Drosophila melanogaster: one gene and its partner. The gene in region 1 interacts genetically with each later gene. Each region holds a gene or a part of one and is shown on either strand. Other genes may lie near its edges.

Evidence for each region. A genetic interaction does not mean that the proteins touch.
Region 2: of bnl (region 1) and grh, changing one suppresses a phenotype caused by changing the other (phenotypic suppression), as found in Drosophila melanogaster (one study listed by BioGRID).

Annotation. Positions count from the first base shown.
Region 1 is NT_033777.3:19,833,268-19,839,221, reverse strand, and holds the start of bnl (branchless), read left to right. Parts: upstream 1-2,404; 5' UTR 2,405-2,960; intron 2,961-5,954.
Region 2 is NT_033778.4:17,799,694-17,806,048, reverse strand, and holds the start of grh (grainy head), read right to left. Parts: upstream 3,804-6,355; 5' UTR 2,658-3,803; intron 1-2,657. UniProt on the Drosophila melanogaster protein: Transcription factor that binds a CNS-specific regulatory element of the Dopa decarboxylase (Ddc) gene. Also interacts with sequences adjacent to other transcription units, including Ultrabithorax (Ubx) and engrailed (en).

The DNA.
Region 1 (5,954 bases):
GCGGAAAAAGGGTCAGAGGTCGTTGAGGCGAGCACATTAGGCTGGAACACTCGACTGGCGGGCTAATTAAGTCATTAGCCCGAAAATGTCCTGCTGCTGCTGCTGCCGCTGCTTCTGCGCATAATTAATCATTTTAATTGTCTGACTCCTTGCTAAAGGACAAGGGGAAACCAAGGGACAATGTGGAAAGTGCAAAGGGCAGATCGACATTCCAAAGGTTGCCCTCGAAAACTGCGGGGGAGTTCTCGCTGTTGTTGGTTATTTATTGGAATAGGCACATTTGGCATGTGCTTCCCCGCGTTTCACCAGGCGTCAAATTCTCGGGCACAAAATGTTTTCATTCCGGTTAATTGAGTTAATTGAGTTTTGAGGCAACCCTTTTTCTGTGGCCTGGCGAAATCACTTAGGCCACTTACGAGCAAGCATTTAGAAATACATTTGAAAACTAAATTAAACACAGGGTCTAAGTAAATTTGCTTATTTCGAAGTATGCAACTTTAGCATGGCTTTACTCGCGCTTCAAGTGATATATTTAAACTCAATATTCTAAATTCAAACTGTTTAAAATTTACAATTTGGACAGATCTACATAGGTACTATTTCTAAACAAGCAAAAGCGCAGTCCACAAAATTCTTAATATGTTTCATAAATCATTTCTACACAACATAATCTAACAAATATTTTCAAAAAATTGTAAGTACCAAACACGATAGATGACACGATAAACAATATTTTATGGCTTTAATAAACAACATTGCCTTCTCAAAACTGCTACTTTATAGCAGTTATATAGTCTTAGCGACAATGTAAAACTTTGCCAATCAGTAGCAAGCCCGCACTTTCCACCGGCAACACCCACCCACTGAATGACGCTGTCATCAAGAATGACGTAGGCGACTACCCCGGAATATTTCTGCAATTTCTGTAGTGTCAAGTTGAAGTTCATTCATACACACATATGGGTATCTGCACCATGTGATTTTTTATAAGCGCCTTCTAAATAGATAAGATAAACTTGTATTCAACGAAATTCGCGCATAGCTGCCTTAACTTTTAAATTTGCCGTGTGACAGTATTTTTGGGGCTAAATTTTGGTCAACATCTAAAATTAGCAAAAATTTCGGTTGGTCAGAAATAGGTTTTGTGGTTTATTGCAGCCACAGGCAAATGAGTTGGTCAAAGTTCAAACCTTATCAGTGCGAATACAACGATGCGATTAGCACCTATCGTGAGTTGGCTTTCCCACGCGACTGATTCACTGGCAATGTTTAGCCGAATAATAAAGGGTACTGGGTGACGCTTGTTGTTGCACTTTGTGTTGTTAGTTAATTGGTATTTGTGCAAGTCCACGCTACCTGGCGAAATACGTCAAAAGCACTGGAAAAGGTCTACGCGCCAAAAAGCACAACCGCCACCAAACGCAATCCAATCAAAAACAAAAAGCAACTGCAATCTCTCCCTTTCACAATGTCTGTTTGAAAACCGTCACGTGATTTGTCGCCGTCGACTTAGGGGGCTCATTATAGTGACAGAACTCTAACAAAAATTAGTAGACTACTGTATTTTATATATATATATATATATATTTTTTTTTTTATATATAGAACATTTTAGTTGAGCTTTATGTTCGAAAGTTGTTTTTCTAGTGACAGATAACACCTTGTAGCCTACATTGTGGCCCAAAAAATTTCAGAATTTTCGGTTAGATAGTTACCATGTAACCGTTTAAGATATTTAGAGTAAGAAAAAGTAGGCTTCATAAATGATTAAGATGACTACAGTTAACCACCCCAAACACTAACAGAATTTGTTTGTTTTACTTAAAATCCAAAAATAATTTTCTAAATACAACAAATAAGTACACAAAAAATAAAAAAAAATTGATTCATATTTTGCATTTAATGTTTGAGTACAATGTTGAGCTAGTAACACAGTAGTTTTTAACCACTCATTAAAATTTATAATTTATTCAGCTACAAAGTATAAATTAGCAACGAACGAAATACAAATCTTTTATAACGGTGTTTTTGATTCTGACGCTAATGTATGATGAATCAACGAGTTGGCAGCGTTTCAATCACTTGAGCCGCAGTTTCGTCAGATCGGAAGGATGAATTGGGAATAACAGATAAACCCCATATCACACCTAGGGAACCGACCGACCACCATTCACTACAGCTGACCACCGACCACCATTCTTGGCGTTTACCTTACTCGCCCACTACTTGCTCTCACTCTCTCCGTCTCCCTCCCGCCGAACCGCACCGCATCGCACTCTCTCTCTCGTGCTCGTTCCGTCGCAAACGTGCTCGGCGTGAACGCACGAAGCGTCGCCTCATCGACAGGGTCTTTTTGCTCATGGCTTCAGTCTCTGACTAGCACGCTTGGGGAACACACAGTGAGCGGAGCGTCCGCAGTCGCAGTAGCACTCGAAGTCCGCTTATCCGCATCCGCAGCGTTTTCGAATTTTTCAGACCTACCATTCGATCCGATCCGATCCATCTGGCACATCCTAACCATCTCTAATCGTAACCCCATCATCGTGATCGCGTCCGTAATCGCTCCGTTTTAACGTACTCGATGTTCCGGTTTTGTGTGCAATCGTTTTCAAAGGAGATCGAAACAATAATCTCGGCGGATAGGAAATTTGAAACACGAATGTTCGTTTCGCAATCCAAGAGAGTCGTTACAATTTGAAAAGCCCGCAATAAAAAAAAAAAATCGTTTAGATGCGAGCAATTCGAAGATCGGAAAATATATAAAAAAATAAATATATATATATGATTTGTGCTGTGTTTGAAAAAGGAATATAAGAAAAAAATTATGAAAATGTTGAATTGTTGTTGCCGTAAGTTTTAAAGTGTGCAAAGTGCAACTCTCTGAAAATCAACGAAGAATACAACGCGTCCAAAAAAAGAATCGTAAAACTGAAAAAAAAGCAAACAAACATAAAACCTAGGTGCGTAATTTTCTGTTTCAACGCTGTTACATAAGTTCTTTTTTTTAATAAGTTTGTTGTTCCTCCAAGTATTTGTTCGAATGTTGCAAAATATTTCATTGGATTTCGGTCTTTGGAGCTTAGCAAAAGCAAGCCTAAAATTATTGAAAGTTTCAAGTTTGCCGAACGGAAAAAATATATGTTTTTCTGTATTATTAGATTTGATGTTTTGAAATACTAAAATTTATAAAGAGTTTCAGTGTTCTTTGGTCGCGCAATGTTGGGCATTTAAATAAAATATTTTGAATACGTTGAAATGTGGCAATTTGTTTGGTAACTTTCAAAATAAATTTAAAACATTTTCCACTTGGCAGCGGGCCGAGTAATAAGTGTATTTAAATGACCCACGAGGGAAAGTAATTAAATAGCAATATGTATAAAAACGAAATAAATTGATTTCAACAAACAAATAGCAAGCTAAAGCAAATGGGCAAAAACTTAATTTATATTAGTGGCATGCTAATTGAAATAATTTAGTTCATATTTGATTTGATTGATCAATACCTGTGCAGAATGATATTCACTTAAAACGTAATCTGATTGCATTTAGGTATAAGCGAATTAAATTTGATTTGCAGCCTAGTTTTTCCAAGTACTTTTCCGCGTTTATCTGCCCCAAATAAACAATTGGTAAAGCAAACAAAATGTAGCAAAATGTTTTTTTTTGCCAACCGGTGAAAGCAAACGACCTTAGGAGAACCCACTCTATGAAAGCGAAATTCATATAAATTTAAGCACACGATCTTTGGGATTATTTATAGTTTTTTTTTTTGCAAAACGCATATACATTTGCGAATCTTTATCGCCGTCTTGAAATGTATCTGTATCTGCGTATATGCGAATTGTGCGTATCTCTATTTGCAAACGCACGCAGGCGCTTTTAATCTCATTTCGCTAACTTTTTCGCAATAAACTTTTTTTCTGCTCACTCTGCGCGTGCACTTTTTGTCCTATAAATTGGCGGCGCTGACTATTATCTAACATTTGTGCGCTATTATCTAAGCTGGCTTGTTGTTCTTGTTCTTCCTGCGGATGATTTGCGCTGCGTATCTGTATCTGTATTTTGTATCTGTGTGCGAATTTGCGTTATTGCCGCACGCTAGTATGCGTCGGGTTCAACAACTGCTAATCACATGCCGGATCACAGTTTGGACAGCCGAGCGACAGACAAAGTGCGAAATATGGGGATCGCGATAAAGAATAAACTGAATGAATTTCGGCTGTGTGGACTAGCGGGTGATATCCTTCAAAATTAATGGCAGCGAAGAGTGCTTAACTCAAATCAGGGTCATTATTTGTAGAAGCTATTAACTATTTGGTATTTTCAGATTTTTTCTGGTCATTTTTCAAACTTATCTGGGGTCTAGGGAAAATATTAAAATTTTGGTTTATTACCTTTTACTTTCCTTTCATAACTTTTTTATTGGTTTACAATTGTTCCAGCAATAAGGGCTATTAGTTAGTATTATAATCAAGTTAATCTTTTTTGCTAACTTACATAAGCCATAATAAATCTTATCTTCTAATTCTAATTGTATAACTTATTAATAACCAAAAATAAGCGATAAAGATTCATACATTAATTATACATAATTGAATTGTGCCTCTTCAAATGCCGATCAAATTTTATTTCCTTTGCCGTTAAAGTTCTCACGTCACAATTTCATCAACTAAAAAATGAATATCCCCCAAGGGCAAAGAAAATAATTGGCTAATTGTTTAGTACCGCTTACGAAACGGTTTCTGGCTACGTCAACGATTGAATAATTGAAAAGACCACCGTAAATTTAGACATTAAGACATCAGTTTATGCAGAAAAACCAATTGAAGTGATTAAATTGCATGGGCAGTCCCGAATTAATTGAAAAGTAAATTTATATTTTGGTAGTAAAAGAGTTGCGCGTGGAATTTATATTTCCCCGGAGACTGTCGTGCATGCCTTCGGACTTCAGATGTCATAAAGCCAGCCAATTATCAGGTTTAGTTCTGAAACGCACGAGTTGGGTAACTTTTCGCTTGGGCCTGTGACACATTTACAAATTGTGCCTGATTGATGGGGCAGCAAGCCCAGTGGAGCCAAAGTTTGAAATACAACGATCATAATTCGTAGATAGATAAAGCTTATCGCATGCAAAAGAAAAAAGTTTTATGGCCGTGCGTAAATAGTTTTGCGGTTTGTTTTTCTTTTTGCCCAAAAGTGGCGCATAACACTCGGAATATAAAGTCAACCGAAGTCGGCGAAAGAAGGCGGAAAATGCGGGAAACTCAGTAAAAATGTAGCGTTTGTTTTAATTAAGCGTGAACACTAGACCACATAATGTGCGGCATACATTTAGAGACGCACACACACGATCGCACATGGCAACAGCTTTAGGTACACCGCTCAGTTAAAAAGCGAGCAACAAAAAGGCAAAATGAAAACGAGAAAATCGTCGCGTATTTTACTCAGGTTGTTGTTATTCTTGTTGTTTCTCTTTTTTTTTTGACGGTTTTCCTTCTTTTTTTACACATATATATATATTTTTTTTTTGGTTGTTTGACGCATTTTAAAAATATCCTAGACGCAATTGTTGTTTTGTTGGCTGTCTGTTTGTCACATTACTAATACGTCGCGTTGTCTTTGATTTCGTCGTTTTCGGTTGGTTTTATTTTAAAACGACGGTTTTCCTTTTAATTTTCGCACGTAAAGTGCGTGACTTTTAATTAGACTACAATAAATGTGCGAAATTGTGTGGGAGATGAGTCTGCCAGTGGGCAGTGTGTTGGTGAAGGCAAGAGATACATTTTAGGTGAGATACATGGTGAAGGTGACAGAAACCGACTTAAAGTCCTAGGGTACTTCCTGTTTTCAGAAAGAATATTTATAAACTAATATTTAAGCAAATAATTTTAACAAATGAAAAATGATTTGTTAACAAGTTTTTCATTTTGAACTTTTTAGGGAACTAATTATTA
Region 2 (6,355 bases), on another chromosome or scaffold:
AATTAATCTCAATAGCGATATTTCTGGAGAGAAACTTTCTCAAAGAAATTATTCCTATTGAAATGTCCACCCGGGGGCGCCACAAAAATTATAGGAACAATTATAAGTGCGGAAGACCATAGAGCATATGTAGCAAGATATATTTTTTTACAAGTATTAGCAAGAAAATTATTAAATATTGCTTATTACTGTGTAAGGTGTAAGTTTTAAATCTATTTGATCATCAAAACAAGTCGTCGAACACAAGTGTAATACAAGGTAATTAATGAGCAATTACTGTTATTGATTGGCTTAACAATAAACTGTAAATCACGTTAAAACGTATATGCAAAAATTGTTCAACAACGTATAGACATATTTGCTTCAATACTGGATCACCATAAGGAAATCTTTCGCGGCGAAAGCAATTTGCATATTTATAACTATAGAACCTTGATAAATTAACAGTCGGTTTTCCTTGAGCAGTGTGTTTGCAATATAAGTGTCGAAACAAATAAATCTAGTCTAATACATCTACCTACGTTGGCTTCCTGGGGTTTATGCAGGTATGATCACTATATGAGTAAATCAACCTTCTCACAAAACAATCATTACTAATTTTCTTCGATTTTATCGACTGGAAGTCACCACATGTGAAAATAAGCCCTCCATCTAACCTTTGCATACAGACAACGCCTACAACGAGATCTATGGTCATTCGTTCTTTATTATCCCCCAAACCACGATCACCATTCCCCCCGATACCACCGATTTCAGATACACAGTGAATACCGAAAGCAATTCCATTTCAAATCCCATTAAGATTTGACATAATTTGAAATTTGGATTTTACGTATCTTTACCTTACTTCGCGTGAATGTAGGGGGGGGATGGAGAGGGGTAGATGGGAGAGGTGGAGAAAAGACAAGAGAAGAAATGCGCAGCGTAACCCTAAGACATCAACGGTCAGAGTTGTTGGGCATCAATAACCAATGACTGAGACTGGAGAGTTGGTAGATGGTACACGGCAAGAAATGCCATGTCGATTCAAAACTTTGAGTTATATTATTAATCTGATGATATAGAAACTCATTGAAACGATTTTATTTTAGCTTTTGACTTCTTAGCCTCTTTAAGAATAATTATATGCATAAATAAATCCTCATAATATCACCATCAATGCATCCCCTTTTCTCTCCGTGTATTTGGGAATGTTCAGGGAAATAAAGGCGTGCATGGATGGGGCAGGGGTGGCGAGCGCGAAGGGGAACGGGAACGGCTGCAAGACGGAGTCAAGAAGTCCCGAAGAAACGAAGAAAGGCTAAAGAAAAGAAAAACAATAAACGTTAACACGAACACGAAAATAAAATAACTCTCTCACGAAGTTCCCCCTTTTTTTTGTGTGTGGGTTACATGTGCCTGTTTCGCTGTGTGCGTGTGTATCTCACGGCTGAATGTATCTGTGTGTCTGGCGGTGTGAGTGCTGCGTAGATGTTCATTTTACTGTACCATAATCGCAGCCCCAAATTGATCACCATCATCAAGAAGGGAAAAAATCAAAAAAAAAAAAAAAAGAAAGAAAATAAAAATCATAATAAAAAGAAGCTGAGAACATAAGAGGCAAAAGGCAGCACAAAAGTCCAGGGGAAAACGTAATCACAAACACTGGGCAACATCATCGATTTTCGAACAAGAAGGCTGCGCAGTAGACGTCGACGCAGAGGCAGAGGCCGAGACCGAGACAGAGGCGTCTTGATCCCTTCTCGCTACCGCTCTTTATGGCCAACTCTCCCGCTCTAGCAAGGTATTGTTGGGAGCACAACGGCAATATGACAGCAATACCAATACCTGTGCGACTTACCTGCCGCTGCCGCTGCGCAGCGGCCACTTCGAAATACGAAATACAAAATAAAACCAAACAAAGAGGAATGTGTGCGCGAAAGATACCACCAACAACACAACGGCAACAGCAACAGCAACAATGACAACAACAACAACAACAACACGAGTTGAGGCTGGGACCAAGAGACTTAGGCTACGTCTGCACAACATACAGGGTGTCCACTGTGAACGAAGGCTTTCAAAAGCAACACTGGCCAGCAGGGTAATGAAATCGTTTAGTTTCAATACATTTGAAATCATTTAAAATGCCTAGCCGTATAGATATAATAAAACTTATTAAAAAAACATGCAGAATGCATTTTAATTTAAAACCGCACGAACTAAATGGATTTTATGCCTACATCTCCAGCAAAATTGTTTAAAAATATTTCTATGAGATTGTCGTTGTCAAATAATATCGAAATAATATCCAATTACCATTTTTCTATTAACTCCATCGAATCAACTTGACGTACTATGTATAAATCTAGCTAAAATATATCTTATAGTTTGGTAATACCATATGTTTTTTAAAAATATCAAGTTTTGAAAAATATTTATTTTTGAAAAGTTTCTACACCCTAGTAGTGCCCAAAAAATGCCCGCTTTTATTGCTCTCTTTATTGGGAATACCAGCTATTGTGATGGAATCTCCCGAAAAAAGGGATCTATAAGCCGAAAACCAAATGGTCAATAGGGTGCTATATTTCTGACGGTGTAATCCCTCCATGAACCGACCAGGGCTACATAGCCTGATGCGTTTATAATTACTTCTTGGTAGGCTAAGTACTACTCACTTTTGGGCCGGGGTGCCTTGAGCTCTTGGGATCAGGATGCGGATTTTGGCACTTGGTGAGGATCTATGGCACTCGAGCACGCTGGAGCAGTGGATCGGATCGGTGGAACTGGAGCTGGATCGTGGACTGGAGTCTGTTTGCTTTGGGAGTCTGCAACCTGGGAGTCTGGAGCTGTAACTGAAATGTGGCTGCTGCTGCTGCTGCTGCTGTTGTTGGTTGCTCCGTTGTTGCTGTTTTGCTGGTGGGTGCACCTTTCGCCACTCTTTGTGCTGTTTTAGTTGTTGTTGTTGTTGTTGTGCGTCTGGGGGCTTTTAGCCTGGCTCTCTGGGCCTTTGGCTTACACAATGCTCTCGGCTGGCTGCTTTTGGCCGCTTCTAATGTGCCACTCTTTGTGGTATGTGGAGCTGTTGTTGTTTCGTTCGCTTGGTGCTGCCTTTGTTGCTGGCGGTTTGTGCATTTTGGCCTAACATTTGATGTTGCTGCTGCTCATATTGCTGCTATTGCTACTGGAGGGCGCAAAAGTTGAGGGGGCGGGTCGGTTCGGGGGCGTTGCGCCTGGCATTTGCGTTTTCAAGCCAATTTGTTGTTGTTTTTTCTATTTTTCTATGAGTATTTTCACTATTTTTTACGCGCTTTCCGCACTAGCATTTGTTATTGCTGCTGGTTCTGGCTGCTGTTATTAATCACTATTTTTATTTTGCATTTTATTATTCGCTGCTCAGCTTTGATGGCGTCTCATTCCAGCTCGCAAGCGCACACACACAGGCACACTTTAAGCTCACGCTCTCCGAGAGACATGCACACGTACACACACACAGATACTCTCGCACTCAACACACACGCACACACACACGAGGTTTTTTTTCGCTTTTTCAGCCTTCTCTTCCTCTTCGTGGCTGAAATTCGTGTGTGTGTTTTATTTAATTTCGAAAAAGTTTAAGCGCGACTTTTTGCTGTTTGTTTGGCGTAGAAACTTTTGGATTTTTCGCAAATATCGCGACACACACGCGCACTCACAGGTAATTTCGATTTGAAACGATTAGTCGGATTTGAAACTATATATTTTCGGTGTATTAACTTGCTGACTTTCCGTGTGCGCGGAAAACTTGTCGTCGCTGTCGCTGGATCTCGGCTCTTGGCTATAATGCCCAAAGAGTCAATTGGAGATTGTTCAACTGTTGAATGTGCTGCTGCCGCCGCTGCTGCCACCTCTGCCGACGTCGTCGTGCAGTTGTATTGGTGGCAAGGTGATGTCTGTGTTCGCGGCGCTGGTTAGAGAGCGCTCGATTATTATTGCTTTTTATGGTTTCATCTCTTTCGTAACTGATATTGAGCGAACGCGGCAGCGACGCCGGCAGCGCAGCGCCACTCAAATTCATTCGAATCGATGATGTTGTCTCTACACTCCCAAACACCCATACAAGTGCGATCTAAAACACAGGTAGCCCAGTGCTTCCATCTGTGTGTGTGTGTGTGGGTGCACCTGCAGAGGCCGAAACGCAGGCAGGTACAAAAGACTTAGGCAACGAACCTTCCACTTCAGCATGCACTTGCGGCGAAGGGAGATGGCAGATCAAAAGAGAGAGAAAGAGAGAGGGCAAGAAAGAGAGCCACAGCCACCCTCGACACGGGCAAACCGCTCCTGCATTTCGTATCTCCCGGACTTTGCGTTTATTTCTGTGCTGCGGCATTGCATTCATCGTCGAAAATTCGAATTCGCTGCTCGGTTCACTCTACTTCGCTTTCGAACTCGCCGCCTTGTTGTTCTGTTTTTGTTGTTGTCATTCGGCTTGTAAACCGCGTGAAAGTGGTAGTGCAATCGGGCATCAGGTAGAGAAACAAACACACACAACAGCGGGAGAGAGGTGGAGAGAAAGACCGAGATCACCGCATGCCAAGAGAAGTCCCTGCAAAAAATTACTGGATACAAAGATGCACTTTCTGAAAACTATTCCGCGGTTAAGCAGTTCAGATAATTAATATAGTTCAACTCTTAATTCTTATATAAAATACTGTTGATAGGTTTCCTATACACAAGCTAAATCACTAAAGCACTTTGTATGATTAAATATTAAAAAAATTTACGAATATTGCATATATTTAACATAAAATCAAATAAATCAACTCGAATTGTTAGCACTGTGAAATGAAGGATTTTTTTCTCCGTGTGGCATACATACGTAAAATAGTTGTGCATGTACCACAATCGAAAACGCCAAGTAGCTGCCGTGCCGCCGCAGCCTCCGCCGCTCTCTGTTCCGTTCTCTCGGCCTGGCTTTCGGTTAACCTCAGTCGGGCTCCTACAACCTCACCTCGCCAGGCGGCGCGGCAATCAGCGCTGTGTCGTGTGGATCGGCGGACGAACCGACGGACGGTGCTTGTGTGCTTTCCGCCATGGTAAAGGGTGACTCCCCCCAGCTTCCTTTCCTCCGAGCTCCCCCCACTTGGATCCCGCACTCACCAATTCACGTTGTTTGTCTTTTGGCGCTGCGCACGCGTGGAACTGTGGTTAAGAACGTAAAGCAGCGGGCGCTAGTTTTCACTGAAGCACTAGACATTCTACGCAATGTAAAATATTTATGTAAAATGCAATTTTACAGTAAATATTTAAAAAGTACATTCATGATGATAAGTAACAATAAATAAAGATAAAATTAAAAATATTTAATGTAATATGTTGAGTTCCAGGAGCCCAATTACAAACACTTGCATCTCAAGTTTGAATTTGAGTTTTATTTTCATTTCGGTTTATTGTTGCAATATATTAAATGTTTAAAACTAAATTTAGGCTTAGTTTAATCCATTTTTTATTTATTGATTTTGCCGTTTTTGCGTTTACACATTAGTTGATTTTCATGTAATAAATTTAATTTGTGGTTTTTAACTGGTCGAAACATTTCACTAATGCTTGATTACGTTTTTGTACATATACCGCTAAGTAGTATATATATGTATGCATGTATCGGTGTGTGTGTTTTGTGTGCGAGTGTGGCGGTGTATATAACTAAAAACAAACAACAATCGCATTAAATGTACTTATATATTTGGTTTTTTTCTTCAAAAAGTCTTATATCTGTCCGTTATGCAAAAGTAAGAAACCGAAGAGAAGCATTCACAAACAAACATTCCATCCCTCCGCGCGTCCCTTTGTCCAGGACATTTTTGTCTAACCTGATTGCCTAAAATTAATGTAACAAACCATGGAAACGTTGATGTTGGTTCTCGGATTCTCACCGATCCGCGGATCTGCCGATCTCATCGAACACTATAATGCAAAGGCGTTTGTCGAATTCTCAATTCCAAGTAGCAGCCTGAGTGACGCGTGAAAGTCAAGTTTCAAAGGACTAGGCGGAGATGTGATTTACCATATGAATCCAGAAATCGGACCTTCGATCGTGTCTAAGCTGTTATAAAAATATAGGAACTTATGCGGGGGTATTCCAAAAATATCTCTATATTAAAGAAAAACTCATTTGGTGTCCTTATGCTGAGCACCTTAAGATTTGAGAATAAGAAAAGTAAGTAACGTTGGCTCGATTGGTGGAAAACAATATTGAAATCATATATGCTTTGAGTAAACTAGATGTTGTTTAATTGCTAGTAAAGTTAATATACTTGTGTTTGCTGTTCTTGTTCATGTCAGAGTGTGATGGATGGGGTTTTGTATCGATAGATGCATTAAAACTAGGCACACCAAC